Oryctolagus cuniculus: one gene and its partners. Each later gene encodes a partner of the first gene's protein in a complex. Links are inferred from orthologs where the notes say so. Each region holds a gene or a part of one and is shown in the gene's direction. Other genes may lie near its edges.

What was found.
Region 2: ARID1A (region 1) and SMARCD3 share a complex: the UniProt entries of both Homo sapiens proteins name them as parts of the neuron-specific chromatin remodeling complex. The link is inferred for Oryctolagus cuniculus from reciprocal best matches to the Homo sapiens genes ARID1A and SMARCD3.
Region 3: ARID1A (region 1) and SMARCC2 share a complex: the UniProt entries of both Homo sapiens proteins name them as parts of the neuron-specific chromatin remodeling complex. The link is inferred for Oryctolagus cuniculus from reciprocal best matches to the Homo sapiens genes ARID1A and SMARCC2.
Region 4: ARID1A (region 1) and ACTL6B share a complex: the UniProt entries of both Homo sapiens proteins name them as parts of the neuron-specific chromatin remodeling complex. The link is inferred for Oryctolagus cuniculus from reciprocal best matches to the Homo sapiens genes ARID1A and ACTL6B.

What each region holds. Positions count from the first base shown.
Region 1 is NC_091438.1:144,806,423-144,811,031, reverse strand, and holds the start of ARID1A (AT-rich interactive domain-containing protein 1A), read left to right. Parts: upstream 1-1,286; 5' UTR 1,287-1,348; coding exon 1,349-2,518; intron 2,519-4,609. UniProt on the Homo sapiens protein: Involved in transcriptional activation and repression of select genes by chromatin remodeling (alteration of DNA-nucleosome topology).
Region 2 is NC_091438.1:22,579,487-22,584,363, forward strand, and holds the start of SMARCD3 (SWI/SNF-related matrix-associated actin-dependent regulator of chromatin subfamily D member 3), read left to right. Parts: upstream 1-1,632; 5' UTR 1,633-1,826; coding exon 1,827-1,904; intron 1,905-4,603; coding exon 4,604-4,815; intron 4,816-4,877. UniProt on the Homo sapiens protein: Involved in transcriptional activation and repression of select genes by chromatin remodeling (alteration of DNA-nucleosome topology).
Region 3 is NC_091442.1:58,991,678-58,996,424, reverse strand, and holds the start of SMARCC2 (SWI/SNF complex subunit SMARCC2), read left to right. Parts: upstream 1-1,502; 5' UTR 1,503-1,607; coding exon 1,608-1,718; intron 1,719-3,614; coding exon 3,615-3,734; intron 3,735-4,333; coding exon 4,334-4,419; intron 4,420-4,747. UniProt on the Homo sapiens protein: Involved in transcriptional activation and repression of select genes by chromatin remodeling (alteration of DNA-nucleosome topology).
Region 4 is NC_091450.1:42,839,023-42,843,892, reverse strand, and holds the start of ACTL6B (actin-like protein 6B), read left to right. Parts: upstream 1-1,625; 5' UTR 1,626-1,746; coding exon 1,747-1,771; intron 1,772-2,180; coding exon 2,181-2,257; intron 2,258-2,450; coding exon 2,451-2,616; intron 2,617-2,905; coding exon 2,906-3,006; intron 3,007-4,870. UniProt on the Homo sapiens protein: Involved in transcriptional activation and repression of select genes by chromatin remodeling (alteration of DNA-nucleosome topology).

The sequences.
Region 1 (4,609 bases):
CACCCTCCGACGTTAAATGACCTGGGCAGTGTCCTCCCCTCTCGGTCTTTCAATTCTGTAAAATGGGGATAATCCCGACCTCGTGCCCCCGGGGACTTGTCAAGACCAGCTAATGAGGGCAGGGGAGTGGGAAAACGCAGAGTCTGAACAATGATCGCTCGGCCCTTGCAAAGGGGTTAGAAAGCAGGGCTCTCTCGGCTGAGTCTTTGGGGCCGGTTTGTAAAAAGGCTTTCAAGAAGAAAAGTGCTGTGGAGGTGCTAAGTAACAGCCAAGAGACCAGGCTCGCTGCCAGGGGGGTCAGGCCTGGGCCGAGGCGGCCGCGGTCTCGGGCTCTGGCCAATTTTGCAGGCGCGGGTAAAGTTCACGCTGCCCGCTCCCCACGGTGCGGCCGGGAGGGGACCGGCCGGGGATCGGCACGCCGGGAGGGAGGCGGCGCAGGCTCCGGAGGGGCGCGAGCTCCGGGCCGGGTTTTCCCCGAAGCCTTCGGCGGCGGTGCTGCCGAGCGAAAGCGGCCGAGGGCCTGCCGCCGCCGCGGCTCGCTCTCTTCCCCTCCTCCTTTGTGAGGGGAAGGGAGCGAGTCCATTCCGCGGCGGCACCCGCTCCGCGCTCCACTCCGGGTTTGCCAGGCGGCCGCGACGGCGCTGGGTAAAATGGCAGTGCTGAGCCTCGTGTCGGAGTGAGGGGGACTCGGAGGAGAGTGGGGCGCTCTAGCCGCTCAGTCCTGCCGCCCGCTTGCTCGCCCGCCCGCTGCCGCGCAGCAGCCGCGGCCGGAGCCGCGGCCGGGGAGGGGAGGCAGGGCGCCCGGCCCGGCCCGCGCGCGCCGACTCTGCCTCCCGGCGCCCCGGCTGCTGCCGCGCGCCCTCCAGCCCGCCCGTCCCGGGTCCCCCTCCCCCCGCTCCCTCCCTCCCTCCCCGCCCCCTCCCCCTCGCCTCCCTCCCTCCCTCCCTCCTCCTTTCTCCGGCAGCAGAAAGCGGAGAGTCACAGCGGGGCCAGGCCCTGGGGAGCGGAGCCTCCACCGCCCCCCTCATTCCCAGGCAAGGGCTTGGGGGGAATGAGCCGGGAGAGCCGGGTCCCGAGCCTGCAGAGCCGGGAGCAGCTGAGCCGCCGGCGCCTCGGCCGCCGCCGCCGCCGCCTCCTCCTCCTCCGCCGCCGCCAGCCCGGAGCCTGAGCCGGCGGGGCGGGGGGGAGAGGAGCGAGCGAGCGAGCGCAGCGCAGCAGCGGAGCCCCGCGAGGCCCGCCCGGGCGGGTGGGGAGGGCAGCCCGGGGGACTCGGCCCCGGGGCGGGGTGGGAGGGGGGGAGACGACGAAGACAGGGCCGGGTCTCTCCGCGGACGAGACAGCGGGGATCATGGCCGCGCAGGTCGCCCCCGCCGCCGCCAGCAGCCTGGGCAACCCGCCGCCGCCGCCGCCGCCGCCGCCCTCGGAGCTGAAGAAAGCCGAGCAGCAGCAGCAGCAGCGGGAGGAGGCGGGGGGCGAGGCGGCAGCGGCAGCAGCAGCAGCCGAGCGCGGGGAAATGAAGGCAGCCGCCGGGCAGGAAAGCGAGGGCCCCGCCGTGGGGCCGCCGCAGCCGCTGGGAAAGGAGCTGCAGGACGGGGCCGAGAGCAATGGGGGTGGCGGCGGCGGCGGAGCCGGCAGCGGCGGCGGGCCCGGCGCGGAGCCGGACCTGAAGAACTCGAACGGGAACGCGGGCCCTAGGCCCGCCCTGAACAATAACCTCACGGAGCCGCCCGGCGGCGGCGGCGGCGGCGGCGGCAGCAGCAGCGACGGGGTGGGGGCGCCTCCTCACTCAGCCGCGGCCGCCCTGCCGCCCCCAGCCTACGGCTTCGGGCAGCCCTACGGCCGGAGCCCGTCTGCCGTCGCCGCCGCGGCGGCCGCCGTCTTCCACCAACAACATGGCGGACAACAAAGCCCTGGCCTGGCAGCGCTGCAGAGCGGCGGTGGCGGCGGGGGCCTGGAGCCCTACGCGGGGCCCCAGCAGAACTCGCACGACCACGGCTTCCCCAACCACCAGTACAACTCCTACTACCCCAACCGCAGCGCCTACCCCCCGCCCCCCCAGGCCTACGCGCTGAGCTCCCCGAGAGGTGGCACTCCGGGCTCCGGCGCGGCGGCGGCCGCCGGCTCCAAGCCGCCTCCCTCCTCCAGCGCCTCCGCCTCCTCGTCGTCTTCGTCCTTCGCTCAGCAGCGCTTCGGGGCCATGGGGGGAGGCGGCCCCTCCGCGGCCGGCGGGGGAACCCCCCAGCCTACCGCCACCCCCACCCTCAACCAACTGCTCACGTCGCCCAGCTCGGCCCGGGGCTACCAGGGCTACCCCGGGGGCGACTACGGCGGCGGGCCCCAGGACGGGGGCGCCGGCAAGGGCCCGGCGGACATAGCCTCGCAGTGCTGGGGGGCTGCGGCGGCGGCAGCGGCGGCGGCGGCGGCCGCCTCGGGAGGGGCCCAACAAAGGAGCCACCACGCGCCCATGAGCCCCGGGAGCAGCGGCGGCGGGGGGCAGCCGCTCGCCCGGACCCCTCAGGTACACAGCTGAGCGGGGAGGGGGGCTGGGGCGAGCTGGGCCGGGCGGTGGGGGGGTGGGTGGCGGCTGCGGGGAGCAGGCCCCAGCCGTGGGCTCCGCTCGGTCCCGGGCCCCCACTGCTGGGGAGCTGCCATTGTCTGGCTCTTCTCTCTTAAAATGGCTGCCTGTCTGCCTTCTTCTCCTTCCCTCCTTCAGCCTTTGTGTGGGGCTTTTCCAGAGGTGTCTGCTGCCCGGCTCCCCCTCCCCTGGCCCCTGCGAACTCCGCGGGTCTTCAGGGGGGTGCGGGGCAGAGTGTGCGGGGAAGGGCCCGGCCTGGGGTGAGGGGGTGCCGGGGGCTCAGATCAGGGGTGTAAGCGGTGGTAGGAGCCCCGGAAGGCGAGCGAGCGTCCCCCTGCTCGCCTGCCGCTCCTCTCTGTGCCCCCTGCTTGTCTCTAGGCCGTCCCCCGTCTGTGCTCTCGAGGAGGGGCCCCTCGGGCCCGGGGGACCTCGCGGGAGGGTAGGGGCCTTCTTGGGGGCAGCTAGAGGCCGGCTGCGGTTCACCCCGGGCAGCCCGGCCATCGCCTGTCTTGGTCTCCGCCGGCCCAGTGGCCTGGGCTTCTCCCTGGAAGCGCTGGTAAACAGCTGAGTGATTGGAGTAGTAAGTGCAGATTGCTTTGGTTTGGGATTTGAATTATGGAGGTAAAATCCTTCTGTCAAAGCCAGGAGACAGTTGGTCTTAGGTTGACATCCTATCTGTGATCTGATTGGCTCCCCATCTCCTGCTCTTGGCCATTTATAATTGCCTCTGATGTAATGGTACAACAATCCTGATGAGCTCATAAACTTTTACACTCTGCTTTTCTGCCAGTGATAACCCAAACCATCGCTGCCACTATCAGCCTTTTTTATTCCAGAGCTGAAATTGGCTGTGACCTTGAGGAGGGAGGTTTAAGCCGCAATACTGTATCAGCAGGAGCAGAGCCCCAGACAGGCTGCCCTTGTTACATTGTGCCTGAAACAAAAGAGGAGGCCATGGCATTTTGCTTGTACCTTGGATTTATTTTGCTTGTTATATTTTATGCAGCCTGAAATAGATTCTGTGTTGTCCGAACAGTAGCTGAGTTTCTTCTCTACAATGGGTTTGCTGTTTGTTTTGGTTTTGTGACTTTCCTGATGGGATAAATGACTTCTTTGATGACTGTGAAGATGCATTTATCTTGAGTAATTCTGACACTGTTTGCAGAATTGAAATTATTTTGCTGTTTGGTTTTTTTTTAATTGAGTGGCAAATGTGGGACCTTTGTGGGGAGGGGGCATTTTTGGTTATCACTGTAATCCTTTTTAAAATGGGGAGCTTTCTTTGGGAATTTCATGTTAGATTCAAGTGTTCTGTTTTAAGCAAGGCTGGCCTCATTCTTTGTTTACATGTTGAATCTTGTTAACAGTTTTCTTTTGTTAATTAGACTTCGGGAGAGCAACTTAAAGAGAAACTGGTGTCTTTCATGATGTTGAGGGACTTTCTCCTGAAGGCTTGCTTTGGCGAAATTATTGTCTCTTCCTGGAATAACAAAAAGGCTAGTTTTTTGTTTTTGCCATCACTCATTTGGAGCTTTGAGATAGAGACTGGTCAGTTTTTTTTGCTTTGCATTTCAATGTATGTTCTGTTCCCACCCCCCCTTCTTCCAAGATACAGACATATGACCTATAGATTTGCCTAGACATTTCCAACGTGTAGGTACCGTTTTGTACACTCTATTTTGTTTTCATTTTGCTTTTCTTCCTGCTCAGCAGTGCCTTGGCCAGGAATATTGGGTAGTCGATGGAGTTGCGTATCTTTTTTCAAGGAGGGGAAAGCCCTCTTATGCACCCACTCCCATGTGTACTTTTGTGCTAAGAAATCAACATTTTGCTTAGTTGGCCTAATCAACTTTGTTCTTTCCTCATCCTAGAACTGCTTTTTACACTTGCACTGTGCTGGGAGTTTTGAAAATAGCTGTGTTAGATGGTGGGCTAAGAGCTCTGTGCCTTGACTCTGCATCTACCCTAATGTTCTACATCTGGGCAAGAAAAAGGGAACTGTTGTGTTCCTGGTGTTTGGAGGATAAGTTTTGT
Region 2 (4,877 bases), about 120 Mb from region 1:
ATGAGGTTAGCGGGCTGATGGGAGCAAATCTTCACGCATTACCACCAGCCACTTCATGGCCTGTGGCTGACCACTAAGCTACCCCATGGCCGGGGCTTCTCTGTGTGTGGGTGGTGGTGGGCAGTGGCCTGGGGTGAAGCCCTGGTAGGAAGGGGGAATTTCTGGGTCCCCCCCACCAGGCCAGAGGTAGAGCCTGAAGCAGAGACCCTCTCTGCCTTTCAGTAGACAGTGGGAACCTACATGGGCGCTCACAGCCCCGCACGCAGTCGGGGCCCAAGGGAAACCAGGCTGCAGGCAGAGTCTGGGCAGAGCTGTCCCGCGTTCTTTGTCCTGAACTCCCCAAGGCAGGAGGGCCAGGACCCGCAGGGCAATGCTGGGTCTTCAGGGCCCAACTTCAAGTAGGTGTCCCGTTGCCCCGCCCTCACCTGTGTTGACACCGCAGCCCCAGCAGGCCCTTAAACTTGACCCTCTGTCGTCCCAAAGCCCACGGGCCCCTCCTCCGGGAGGAGGAGATAGGGGCGTGGCCTTGGGGCATGGGCGGGGCCAGGGCGCCCAGTCTGGGGATCTCAGGATTCGCCCCTCCTCTTTCCTGTCTCTCCTCCACCCCAGGGACTGCCAGCTCCCTGCACACCGCCCCTTCGGGGGCTCGCTCTCACCCCACCCTGCGCCCCGGCTTCCTCTGGGATGCTGAGGCGGGCCCGACCCCTCCGGGGTCCGCACCCCTAGGCCCTCAAGCCCCGCTTGTCTCCTGCTTCCCAGACGCCCCCACCGAAGCCCCCAGCCCGGCCCTGCGCCGCCTCGCCCCGCGTTTCCCCCTCGCTGCGCTCTCTGAGCCCCGTCCCCGTCCCTCCTTCCGAAATACTTGCCCTCCTGCCCTCACTTTCTCACACAGAGGCAAACAAAGACCCACATACCCAGAAATAGCCTCGCGCGGAGCGGAGCGCGGCGCAGGCCGCGTCCCGGCCCCACGCACGCGCGCAGGCCTGGCGGCTCCCGCGCAGCGAGGCCCCCGGGCGAGGCGTCCGTCCGTGCGCCCTCGTCAACACCCGCAGCCGCCGCGCCGGGCCGCAGGGTGCGGACGCCGGCCGCCAGACAAGGGCACAACACACACACACACACACACACACACACAGCCGTGCGCGCAGGGAGCGCCTCCTCCCCGGCACACCCGGCGCGGCCGGCCTCGGCTCCCCCCCGGATTCCTGCCCGCGAATGTTTCCCTACTTGGCCTGCCAGGTCTCTGGGGAAAGGGCCTCAGAAATGCAGCCGGAGCCTCTCGGGGAGGGAAGAAAGTTGGAACTGACTGTTCCCTGCCTGGCCCTGCCGGCGAATTCCCTAACCGAGCAGCTATTTGTGGCGAGAGCCCGGGTGGCCGGCGAGCCCCCCGCCAGCTCCCCGCGCGGCCCTCGGGCGGCTCCGGGCTGCAAGCGCCGCTACCCTGCGCCCAGGCGGGGCCGGGCTCGCCGCGCACCTCGCCGCTTATCTGCGCTGTTTGGACAGCGCGGGCTGCAAAGGCCGGCGTCCCCGTCCCCGCCGAGTCAACAGGCAGACCCCGGGCCGCCGGACTATTTCTGTCTTATCAGTGCAGGAATGCGGCAGCCGCGGCGGCGGCGGCGGCAGCGGCGGCGGGCGGGCGGCGGCGGCGGCGGCGTGGGCCGTGGGCCGTCAGGGCAGCCCTGAAGGGGCCCCCTCCCCACTCCGCTCGAGTAGAAGTGTGAGAGAGCCCAGCAGGACTCAGAGGGGAGAGTTGGAGGAAAAAAAAGGCAGAAAAGGGAAAGAAAGAGGAAGAGAGAGAGAGAGTGAGAGGCGCCGCTGAGCCCACCCCGATGGCCGCGGACGAAGTTGCCGGAGGGGCGCGCAAAGCCACGAAAAGCAAACTTTTTGAGTTTCTGGTCCATGGGGTGGTGAGTGGGGGAAAGTTAGCGGGGGAGGGTGAGCGAGCTGGCTCGGGCTGAATGGAGGGATGGCCGGGAGGGGCCGGGAGGGCGCTCCCGCGCGCCCACCCCTCCGGCGGGGGCGCCGCGGCCACAGCCCAGCGCCGGGACCGTGCCGGCGCCCTGGCGTGCCAACACGTCGTCAGGCGGCGGGCCGGGGATGGGCGCGCGCGGCGGGGAAGGCAGGCGACTGCGCGGGCTCTTGTCAGGGGCGGGCGTGGGACTGGGGGACTCCCCCCACCCAGGTGGGGGTCCCCTTCTGTGGCCGACATGTTGTCTGGGTTCCCCAGCGGGCCCAGGTGTTACCCCTTCCCCGGGGGTGGGGGCGGGGGACGGGGACGCGGCGCAGCCCTGTTGGGTTGTCTGTTCACATCCGTTGGGACGGTGTCACTCTGTTTCCAGAGCGTGGAGCAGGTGACCCTGGAGGCACTGTGGGCGCGAAAGCCCTCTGGCTGAGCAACCTCTGTATCCTGGCAGGAGGGCACTGGGGCATTTTCGGCGTAGCCCCTGCCATCAGGGTCAGGGAGAGGCTCCCTCTAGGGACAGACTCCAGGTGGAAGGAGTCCGAGCGTCCCCTTGGCAGACGCCTGTCCTTAATATCTCCAAGGTGTGAAGAAAGGGCCGGAGTCGGGGACGTGAGGCCTAGGGATCCCAGGGACAGGGCAGCCCCAGAGGCACGTGGGAAGCCCCAGGCAGCCTCAGCAACCCGAGGCAGGGCACGGAAGAGGCCTGAGCTGGGTGGCTCGGGGGCCACGCTGGGTGTGGAGACGCGAGAGGGGACGACGTCAGGTTCACTGCGGCCACATTTGGCCGTGACCCCCCAGGAGGGCACCTTCTTGGTGAGGGAGGCCAGAGTCCCTGAATCTTGGCCTGTTGTGGGGGTGGTGCTGGTGGCTGGCACAGCTCCCTGGGGGCCCTGGAAGCCTCCCAGCAGAGCAGGCAGTATCCCTGGCCTTGACAGAGAGGGAGCCCAGCTGATAAAGCCAAGGGGGTTCCTGGGTCAGCCTGGCCTCCAGCGCTGGGCATCTCTGGGGTCGACTTTCCAGGGCCTGCATGTCCACCAGCTGCATCACCGGTCCTAGCCTTGCTGCTGCGGGGAGTTCCTTTGAAAAGGCCCAGCTAGCAGGGAGAGAGGCTCGACATGGGTCTCTCTCTCTCTCTCTCTCTCTCTCTATATATATATATATATGGCCAACTTAATGCTTCAGTTCTTAGGTGGCTCGGCGCCCCACCATCCCCACTCCCAGTGCCCCATCTAGGCTGGCGGAGAATGGTCACCAGCTAGCTCCATTCTGGGTTGCCACCCTGGAAGCATGAGTGACAGGGTCAGGTGGGGTGGGGGGAGGCAGACACATGGTCGGGCAGGTTTCACTGCTGGAAAGATGGACAGAGACAGCTGCTGGCTGGGAGTGGGAGGGCTTTAGGGGCAAAGTCAGGGGCAGCATCGGGGCGTCTCCTTGGGCCTAGGGTGAGATAATGGAGTGGATAAATGACAACAGGGGCCCCTTGCTCCCCAAGATTCCTGCTTTTCCCAGTCCCCATCCCACCCACTCCCCTGCTGCTACACAAGCCCCTGAAACCCTCATATCCCTCCTGAACTCTGGACAAGTGGCAGTAGCACTTCACTCATTTGCATCTCATTTACACCCCATCCAACCACCTAGGGGCACATGACCCACCTCATCTCCCTCTCCACCACCCTCTTTGAAACCTGGCTTCACTGGGGTGGGGGTGAGCAGTGGAGGAAGCCTGCTGGGTGTGAAGCCTTGGCTGATGGCTGATGGGTGCGGGTGGACACGCTGCTTCCTTTGACCTGGCCCAGGCCCCCTGGTAGCTCACCTCCAGCCCAGCTCCCCCTCCTCCCAATCAGAATCCTGGCAGGCTGTGACGTCAGCCCCTCAGGTGCCTTTGCCCTTGCTCTGCCTTCAGCCTTCACCCGGGGAGCAAATCTTGGGGTCCAGCTTAGTTGCTGAAGCCTCTGGGTGTGGAGTCAGCTGGAGGGGATGGAGTTTGGGATGCAGAGGTCCAAAAGCAGGGCGTGGAGAGAGGAGGGGGCAGCTGAGGAGGAGCCGGTGCAAGGCAGAACAGCTGGAGGAGTGGAGACCAAGAGGGAGGGAGCCGTAAGGAAAGTCAGAGCAGGGAGCTCAGCCCCTAACTTCAACGAAGCCGCAAACGGCAAAACGCTGCGGCCCTCAGGAACCCGGAGCCCTTCAGGTGTTGTCCTAGCCAAGATGAGCTGCGTGACCTTGGCGAGGTCGCCGTTCTCCTTGAGCCACAGTTGCCTCGTCTGTCAAGTGGGAATGAGAGGACCTGTTCACTGAGTCTGGCAGAGGCGCGTGAGGGTGTGAACCTCCTTTGGAAGGTGGAAAGGCGCCATTGCCAGTTACTGTGCGTTTTTGCGGTACCTTCCGCAGCTCCAGGCTCGGCAATGCCCTGGACAATTGCCTGGCTTCAGTTAGCTTCCTGCAGCGACACGCCAAGCCCCCTCCGCCGAAGCCGCACCGATCCGGTGCCTCTGCCCCTCCCACCCAGCGCTCGGCGCTCAGGGTCACCAGCCGGGGGTCTTGGGGTGGGGGGGAAGGGAGACGCCGACTCGCTGCGCCTGGAGCCAGGGTTCCTGGTCTGACCCGCGGGTGCCGGTTTCTGCTTCACCCCCGCCCCACCCCCAGCGTCCCGGGATGCCGTCTGGAGCCCGGATGCCCCACCAGGGGGCGCCCATGGGCCCCCCGGGCTCACCGTACATGGGCAGCCCCGCCGTGCGACCCGGCCTGGCCCCCGCGGGCATGGAGCCCGCCCGCAAGCGAGCAGCGCCCCCGCCCGGGCAGAGCCAGGCCCAGAGCCAAGGCCAACCGGTGCCCACCGCCCCCGCGCGGAGTCGCAGGTGAGTGGGGGGGGGGGGGGCGCGCGAAGGGGGCGTGCAAGGGGGGCTGTCAGGACCCGCGG
Region 3 (4,747 bases), on another chromosome or scaffold:
CATAAAGAGCATCCTCAACGAGTCCCCTAGCTCTTCCCCAGTCATGTGAGGGGCTGGGAAGAGCTGGGTGAGGGGAGCAGAGAGGTCGGAGAGTGACTTCCTAGCGCGGTTAATACACACGGAGGACTTGCAAGAGTACCCGGTACATGACGGGCACCCAGTAAAAAGTGACAGCTCTCTTCGCACACCTGGCTCCAGGTAGGTGTGCTGTGCTGTGCTGTGCTGTGCCCCGGGATACCTGAGGTATAGCACAAGGAAATGCCAAGCCTACGACTTCTGGTGACGAAAATCACCAGAGGCGCGCTCTTTTCGTGGAAATTCCGGGTTTGGCTATTTATTGCACGCCAGGCACTCACATTCCCAAACAAAAACCTTTCTTCTACCACATTTCGCTAATCTCCTCCCAAAAGCAAAACAAAACAAAACGCGTGCTCAAAGCTCCGCCGGCAAAGCGCGAGGTGCCGAATCCGCCAGCGCCTCGCCGAAATCCGCTTTCTGAGCTCACCCCCACCCCCTCCCACAGCCCGGGGGTGAGCCCTTTCAGCTTCCCTCCAAAGACAGAAAGGGGAAGTGCAGGAAAGACACGTGCGAGGGCTGGGGTTCCTTTCTGCATGTTGCAAAGGGGGGGGAAAAAACGCAACCGTCACGAACAGGATTCGAACCTGTGCGGGGAAACCCCATTGGATTTCGAGTCCAACGCCTTAACCACTCGGCCACCGTGACTCCCAAAACCGTTCCTCGCCGCGCGCTTACAGGAGGGGTCCGCACTGCGCCGGGGAGAGCGCGCGGCGCCCGGAAGCGGCCCCCGGCCGGGCGCGCACACCGCGGGCCTCCCACCCCTCGCCCCTTACCTCTCGTCCACGTCGCTCAGAGAAGAGCGGGTGGGCCGAGTGACCCGGACAGGCAGGATCCCCTGCCTATAGAGAAGTGTTAGGGTCTCAAGGAGCGCAAAGCTACATGGAGGGCGATGGCGAGGCCTGTGGAGGAGGCGCTGAGGGGAGGGACTGGGTCCCCAGGGCGGCGGCGGGGGGCTTCTCGGGAGAAGAAGTGAGAAGGAGCTACCGGGTGGGACGAGGCGCGAGGCTGAGGGAGACTCGGTGAGAGTTGAGAAGGGGAGCTCCTGGGAATGCGTGAAAGGGAGACACTCAGGGATCACGGGCTCCTCGGCGGGGCTGGAAACGCGCAAGGGGAGGGCACTCCGGGCTGCGCGTCCCGGTGGGGTAGGAGAAAGGGGTCCACTGCGGGGCCCAGAGGCCAGAAAGAGGGAACGGGCTTCGCGTCGGGTAGAGAACGGCTTTAGGAGAGTGGCGCCCCCTCCGGGAAGCAGCCAGCTCCCCGGATGCTCCCGCGGCGGCCGCCGCCCCTGTCAGGGAGGCCACCCGAGTCGGCCCAGCGCCGGGCCCTCCGCCGCCGCCGCGGCCGCCGCACCAGGCCTGCCGGCAGGGGGCGCTGCGCGGGCCGGGGCCGGCCTAGGCGGCGGGAGGCGGCGGCCGCGGCGGCGGGAGGCGGCGGGAGGCGGGCGGAGGAGGAGGCGGAGGAGGCGGGAGCTGAGCTGAGCGGGGCGGGCGGCGGTGGCGGCGGCGGCGGCGGGGCCCGAGCCCGAGAAGATGGCGGTGCGGAAGAAGGACGGCGGCCCCAACGTGAAGTACTACGAGGCCGCGGACACCGTGACCCAGTTCGACAACGTGCGGCTGTGGCTCGGCAAGAACTACAAGAAGGTACGCGGGCAGGGCCGCGCGGGGTCCGGGGGCGGGACAAAGGCCCCGCGGCCCCGCGGCCCCCCGGGGTCCTGCCCACCCTCCAGCCGCCCTGGCCCCTCCCCCGCGGCCTCCCGGACAGCGCCCCGCGGGCCCGCGCCCCTCCCCCAGCCTCTCGCACCCCCACCCCGGCCGCGGATCCCAGCCCCCGCCCTCACGGCTGCGCCCTCTGCCCCTTGTTTTTCTCCGCTGCCCCGGTGCCGGCAGCCCACCCGCCCCCTGAGCCGTCGCCTTCTCTGCTTTTCCGGGGGGAGACGACCGGCCTAGGGTGGGCCGGGTGCTGAGCGGGCTCCCTCCCCGCGGCCCCGCGTGCCCGCCCCGGCTCCCCACGGAGCCAGGTAGCGGCGGGGCCGAGGCCTCTCCGGTGCTTTGTGTGTGTCCGGAGAGAGATGAGCGAGGCAGCGGGGTAAACAGCCGCGGGGCCCCGAAAGAGGTCCCCACCCCGGGATCACCTGTCTCCCTCCATCCGAAGGGCAACAAAACCTCCCAGGGAGACGGGGTCCGGGAGCTCCTGGGCTTCACAATGAAGTCACCCCACAGCCCAGCCTGGCGCTGCCCGGGGCTTGGGGTCCAGAGGCTTGGATCAGCTTTATAGCCCTAGCCCCTCACCCCCCTAGCCTGTAACGGAAATCCTAAGGTAGCCAACAAAAAGGTTCCAGAAGCCTCACCTGTCTTGGGTGTCTTTGTCTTGGGCCTGGTGCTTCCCTGGAGATGGGCTGCCCGTGTCCCTGTTCACTCAGCTCCAGTTGAGGATTCTTCCTGGCTTGCGTTCAGCACCCGGGGTCTTCCTGCACACCTCTGTGGCCTGTCAGAAGTGGGATGGATGGTTTAGGAGGGCCTCCCTAGCCGTGGTTCTGAGCGTGGCCCTGCACGGAGTGGGGTCTCCCTGGGTGTCAGAATCCTGACAGCTGCTGAGTCTGTGGCTTGCCTGCAGCCCAGCGTGGGGCTCTGGTTCCCAGGCTTTACCTCTGACCTTTTGGAGGGAGATGAGTTAGGGGCCTAGGGCCCTGGGGGGAGAATTGACAGCCTGTGACCCGGTTCAGCTTTCCTGCTCTTTGTCATCCACCTTCCCGTTCTGTGAGCTCCTTCTACCTCCCACTGAGTAGTGCTGTCTGCCCTGTGATTAGGGTGGAGGAAACAGGGGTCAGAAGGTAAAGAGAGAGTTAGCCTCCTGGCTCTGAGTTCAGTTAGGATGGCAGGCTGGGATGCTGATAGTGTTCACAGGAGGCCTAGGGCTGCCTGGCTCGGGTCCGGTTTCCTCGGAAAGGGTAGATGATGTTTCACAAGCTGGGGAGGAGTGGGCTCTCCTGTCTCGGAAGACATCGACGCCCGGTTCCTAGCAGAAGCACAGCTCACATGTTCACTCTTGGGCCGCCGGCCTATCTTCTCTTCTCTGCACCTTTTCCTATTAGACTACATTAGCGGGGAATCGTGGCCTCCCTCAGTTTCCCCAAAAACTGCGCTGTTGTCTTGCTTACAGCTTGGAAGGTATTGCTTCCAGAACCTGAACTCCACAAACCTTCAGGATTTTACAGCCCTCAGTGCTGTTGGCTGGAGATCAGGTGCCAAGATAACAGGGTCTGGCAACTCAGATTTCAAGGAAGAGTCCTTGGAAATTTCCCTCACCCACAACACCCTGCACTGGCAGCCACAGCTGGTGGCGGCAGAATTTCAACTTCCTGGTTAGGGGTTTCCAGGGCCACCCTTCCACCATTTTCTTTATAGGGACGAAAACACGTGGGGGAGAAAAGCACTATTTTCTCTGCCCCGGCTTCTTCCAGCCCCTAGGGAAGAAATTTGGAGGTGGTAGACAATTTATCCGGGGTCTGTTTCCCTTTGCTTTCTCCGTTCCTCTAGTATATCCAAGCTGAACCACCCACCAACAAGTCGCTGTCTAGCCTGGTTGTACAGTTGCTACAATTTCAGGAAGAAGTTTTTGGCAAACATGTCAGCAATGCGCCACTCACTAAACTGCCGGTGAGTGCAGAAGCCTCGAGTCCTCCCACCTGGCGTGGGAGGGATTTGTGAATTTTGTCATTCTTGAGATTTGGGTTCTTTCCTGCCCCCTGTGTCCCCTGCTCAGGATGTGACTGACCTGGCCTGGTCCCCAGGTTACCATGCCCATGCCCTTTGTTTTCGTAACACTTTGTGCAACAAGTTATCTCGGAGCACTGTGGGCTCCGTCCCAGTCTCTCCTGGCAGGGTTAAAAGGCCTAAGATCTGGATTTGCACAGGTTTCTTCTGTGTTAGATCCTGGCTCTACCACTTGAGGGCCCTGTGATCCTGGGCAGCCTTTGTGAGTCTTGGTTCCTTCATGTGTAGATGGGATTAACATGCCTACCTTGTGGGGTTCCTGCCAGGGTGAATGCGGTAACTCAGTATTAAGTGCTTGGTACAAGCTGGCGGGTACTGTTCTCCTTCCCCACCCCAGAGCACCCACTACAGTTACACAAGGGGTGAAGAATTCTAGCTTTGCAAGGGAACTCGGTTTGACCCGGGGTTTTATGAAAGAATTAGTAAGTGATAAGAGAATTTATGATATAACTCGCATGCTTCTCACTGTCTCCATTCTGTAGATCAAATGTTTCCTAGATTTCAAAGCAGGAGGCTCCCTGTGCCACATACTTGCAGCTGCCTACAAATTCAAGAGTGACCAGGGATGGTGAGACCCTTCATACTCAGCTTCTTACGTTAAGTTTACAGGGCACCCGCCTTGGCTCCTTGGGTGGGAGGACACAGGTGGACATTCCGTGAATGTCTTTCGCTGGGTCAGAAAAATGGCTGCGTGTCAGGGCCAAAACAATCCCCAAGAATGAGTGAGGGCATGCCCGTGGGTGTCGGTGCGTGTGCCGTGGAGGAAAAGGGATTCTCAGCGTGGCCTCTTAAGCTTCTCTTTGTCCTTCTGGGCTAAGCACAGAGGGAGGGATTTGTGGAGTTGAGATCAGTGAACCCCAGAACTCAGGTGGTCTGGCATCCACTATGAGCAAGGT
Region 4 (4,870 bases), on another chromosome or scaffold:
TAGGGACATTCTTAGGGCCCAGTGCTTACAGAATCCAGGTCCTTGATTCTGGCATGGGACTGGATATCAGCAGCCTATGGTCAGGGACAGCAGAGCTTGGAGGGAACACAGAGGTCACATCTCACTGGCTGAGAAGAGATGTGGCTCCACCCCCAGCTCCGCCCCCGCTGGGCTATGTGGCCAAGACAGCACCCTGCCTCCATGTGGGGCAACCCCTGCAAAACGCAGGGCTTGGACTCGTGACTGGTAAGGTTTCTTCTGACTGGGAAAGTTCCTGACTCTGAGACGGCCGGTGGAGATGGAGGTTGAAGGGGAGTGGAACTGACTTGGGAGGAAGTGAGGCAACATTTCTCAGTGTTCAGCAGACAGCATGCAGAGGATCAGCATGAACAGAATCTCTTTCACCCCTTCAAACCCCCACCCCCAGCATTTGGAAGATGAAGAGATACAGGCTATGGGAGCTTAGCGGGCTCACGCAGTTCATGCAGGCCTCACATTATAGAGAAGTCAGTGACTGGCCTGTGGTCACTTGAGAAAATGTCAATCTCCTAGCTGCTGGGTCAGCTCCTTCCCTCCCCTCCAGCTCACTCCTCCCACTGACACCTGCAGGGCTCCAGTCTGGGGAGCCAGACCTGGACTCGGAACCCACCGCGGGTATGCGCAATGCCACTGTCACCAGGAAGTAATGAATGAGCCAGCTCAGCCCATCCTTTGGTTGAGGGAAGAGCTGGGTCTTTTCCACAAGGGGCAACCAGTGAGCAGAGAACCCTCGGGGACATGCCGCAGTCACACTACCCTCTTCCTGTGCCATTTCTGTTCTCACAGCTCCCAAACCCCAAACAAGCAGGTGGGAGTGCAGAAGTGCCCCAACACATTATATTCACGTGTGCATATGCACATGCACACAGCCGACACATTATGTTCACATGTGCATATGTACATGCACACACACACACACACGGCCACACTGGCCAGCACAGGCTCAGAGTCTGACTCAGGCAGTCAGAGCTGCTGCTTCACTTCTGCTATCCAAACCTGCTATGCTGGTAGTGCTGGGAGCCCAGAAGAACCCAGGGCCTACCAGAAACTGGACACCGTGATCATTGCCTCCCAGGGAGAACAGGCGGTTGAGCAGAGAGGGAAGGGTAAGGACAGGCCAGCTGAGTGCCTGTGTGTGCATGTGTGCACGTGTGTAGGTGGAAGGCCCAGGAGAGGAAAAGAGGCCATGAGGGAGACCAGGGTGGGAAGACACGGGGAAGAGATGGAGACACACCCCCTCGGGTCGCGCCCTCTCTGTCTTCCCTTCTACTCCCGGGAGACGTCCTTCAGGCCTAGGTGTGACAGAAACCTTGTGATGGTGGCACTCCCCCCAACACACCCCACAGCCCATTTGAAAAGCTACGGCAGCAGGGTCCCCATCAGTCACCCTGTGGGATCCTGGTCTCGGGGAGGACAAGGTCTCCCTCGTTCTCCTACTCTCCTCTCTGCCGCCCATTGCTTAGGGCTGGTCTTCCTGGGGTCCTCCCCGCCGCCGAGCGCGAAGGTGTCTGCGCCTTTAAAGCGGCGGCCCCCGGCCGGGTTATTGTCTCGCCTCGCAGCCAATCGCCGGAGCCGTTGGGGGCGGGGGACCCGGCCTCCCGATTGGCCGCCGCGCGCCCCGCCCGCCCGGGATCCCGGGAGCTGTCCGGCCGCCGCGGTGCTGATCCCGCCGCCGCCCACGGGCCGCGAGCCGCACCGAGGGGCACTATGAGCGGGGGCGTCTACGGCGGAGGTGAGCCGGTCCCGGGCCTCCGGGGCCTCGCGCGCAGCCCTGCGCCCCGTATCCGCGCCACCCAAGCTCGGGGCACCCCGGGGCCTGTCACCTCGGCGCTCGAGCGAGTCCGACCCCAGGTTTGGGTCCCGTGCCACCCCTACTTTCTGTCTTCCCGGGACGCCCCAGGCGCGCCGGGCCCAGCCTCTCCACTATCCAGCCCTTCTCCGCCCGACCCCTGGCTCCGTCCTTCCCAGCCCCGAGAGTGGCCTGAACAAGGCCACCGGGTAGGAGGGAACTCTGGCGGCTTGACCCCCACTCCAAGGCCCCCACTCGGACTGTGGCTCTGCCCTGTCCCCCTTCCTCTCGGATCTGTCCGCGAGGACAGAGTTTGGGGAAGGTCTCCTCACCTGCTTGTCTCCCCGCACAGATGAGGTGGGGGCGCTGGTCTTCGACATTGGCTCCTTCTCGGTCCGCGCCGGGTATGCTGGGGAGGACTGTCCCAAGGTGAGACTTTCAGATCTCTTCCCAAATCCTCCCCAGGCTCGCCACTAACCCAGGGCTCTCCCAGCCGAGCCCACACGCTCTGCTGAGCAAGTGTGGGAGAAGAGCCAGGGGCGGGCTGAGGACCCTGCCCTGGGGCTGAACGGGTAACCGGGTGATCTTCCTTTCTCTGCCCATGCTGCCCCCTCCCACCCAGGCTGACTTCCCCACCACGGTGGGGCTGCTGGCCGCGGAGGAGGGGGGCGGGCTGGAGCTGGAGGGGGAGAAAGAGAAGAAGGGGAAGATCTTCCACATTGACACCAATGCCCTGCACGTGCCTCGGGATGGAGCGGAGGTCATGTCGCCCCTCAAGAACGGCATGAGTAAGGGCCCCCCCCCCCGACCCTGAGTCAGACCAGGAGCCCACTCCCAGCCCGTGGGACTCTGTCTCACAGCCACGGAGTCCTCCTCACAACTGTCCAAGTCCCAGGGACCTCCTCAGAGCCCCCTGTAGCTGCCTGGTTCCCAGCCCAGGAGCCCCAAATTCCCGGGAGTGGGGAAGGGGCTTTTCCTCTGGAGTTGAACTCCCCCTCCCCTGGACTTGGCGTCTCTCCCTGCTTCCTTTCCCGTCGCTGACCCCTCCCCGCCTCACCTGTGTCTTTCTGGCCCCAGTTGAGGACTGGGAGTGCTTCCGAGCCATCCTGGATCACACCTACAGCAAACACGTCAAGTCTGAGCCAAACCTGCACCCCGTGCTCATGTCAGAGGCCCCGGTGAGTGCCCTGGGGCCCCAGCACAGTCTTCCCACCCCTTACCTGTCCTTTCTCAGACAGTCCTTCCAGCCTTGTCATCTTGGGCCACCTGTCTTCCTCTTGCTCTACCTCTTTCTCTTCCTGCTCTATAAGCCCCTCTCCTCTCCAGTTCTTTTTTAATCCTTTAACTTGAAAATAGTTGTAGTACATATGGTCGATTTGCTTTGTAAAACATGTTAAGAAGAAACACTGCAGTTCTTGCCGCCTCTTCCATTTCCCCTTTTCCAAATGCCATTGCTTTTCTCCCTGTTATCTTTTTTTTTTTTTTTTTTGTATTTCTTTCCGTATCTCCCAATATCACACTTACATTGCTGTTTGCAGGTTTTCTATATTAGGCATCATCTAAGAATTTCCTACTAGAAAAAAGAGCATTGAGCTCTCTCCTCCTCTAGCCTATATCACACATACTTCTCATTCCCCACCTTTAAGTACAGTTCTGGCTTAGACTTCCTGAAAGATCAGTATTCACTATTTAGCCTCCTGTTACTATGTATGCTAATCAGGGCTGAGCTGGGGAATCCATGATCGCTTTTCTGTTTCTTGAGTGGCTTTAAACAATCTGATTTTAGCTCTCCTTTCACCCCCACGTCCAGAGCCAGCTGACAGCGCCCATTTCTAGTTCTCTCAGGGTTCCAAGCTCAGTACAGGTTGTTCCTGGCTTTTCCCAGTACTGCCTTACAGCATTTGTAAATCTGTTAAGTCAGTTACTACTCACCGATCTCATCCTTAACTTTCAAAGTTTGTTGCTGGTTGCTCTTTTCTTATTTTCTTTTTTAGATTTTTTTTTTTTTTTTTGGACAGGCAGAGTTAGACAGTGTGAGAGAGAGACAGAGAGGAGAAAGGTCTTCCTTCTGTTGGTTCACCCCACAAATGGCCGCTGCGGCCGGCACACTGCGCTGATCCGAAGCCAGGAACCAGGTGCTTCCTCCTGGTCTCCCATGCGGATGCAGGGCCCTAGAACCTGGGCCATTCTCCACTGCACTCCTGGGCCACAGCAGGGAGCTGGACTGGAAGAGGAGCAACCGGGACAGAACTGGCACCCCAACCGGGACTAGAACCAGGTGTGCCGGCGCCACAGGCGGAGGATTAGCCTAGTGAGCCGCAGCACCAGCCACTCTTTTCTTCTTTTCACAACCTGAGGCACTACTCTTTCTCAGGTGAAATTCACATGACATAAAATTCACCTTTTTAAGTCAATCATTGAGGGGCAGGCATTTGGCATAGTGGTTACGACGCCACTTGGGATGCCTGCATCCTACATCAGAGTGCCTGGGTACAAGTCGCAGCTCTGCTTCTGATTCCGGCTTCCTGTTAGTGTGCACCCCTGGGAGGCAGCAAGTGATGACTCAGTTATTTGGATCCCTGTCCCCCGTGTGGAAGACCTGGATTGAGTTCCTGGCTTCTGGCTTCAGCCTGGCCCAGTCTTGGCTGTTGAAGGATTTGGGGGAGTACATCAATGCATGGGAGCTCTGTCTGTCTCTCTCTCTCTCCATATTTCTGAGAAAAAAGCAATTCCATGATTTAAAAAAATTATTAATATAAAGAGAACAGATTTCGTGTATTTCTTTTTTGTTTTTCTTTTTTCTTTTTCTTTCTTTATTTGACAGGCAGAGTGGACAGTGAGAGAGAGAGACAGAGAGAAAGGTCTTCCTTTGCCACTGGTTCACCCTCCAATGGCCGCCATGGCCAGCACACTGCGGCCGGCGCACCGCGCTGATCCGATGTCAGGAGCCAAGTATTTATCCTGGTCTCTCATGGGATGCAGGGCCCAAGCACTTGGGCCATCCACCACTGCTTTCCCAGGCATATTAGCAAGGAGCTGGAT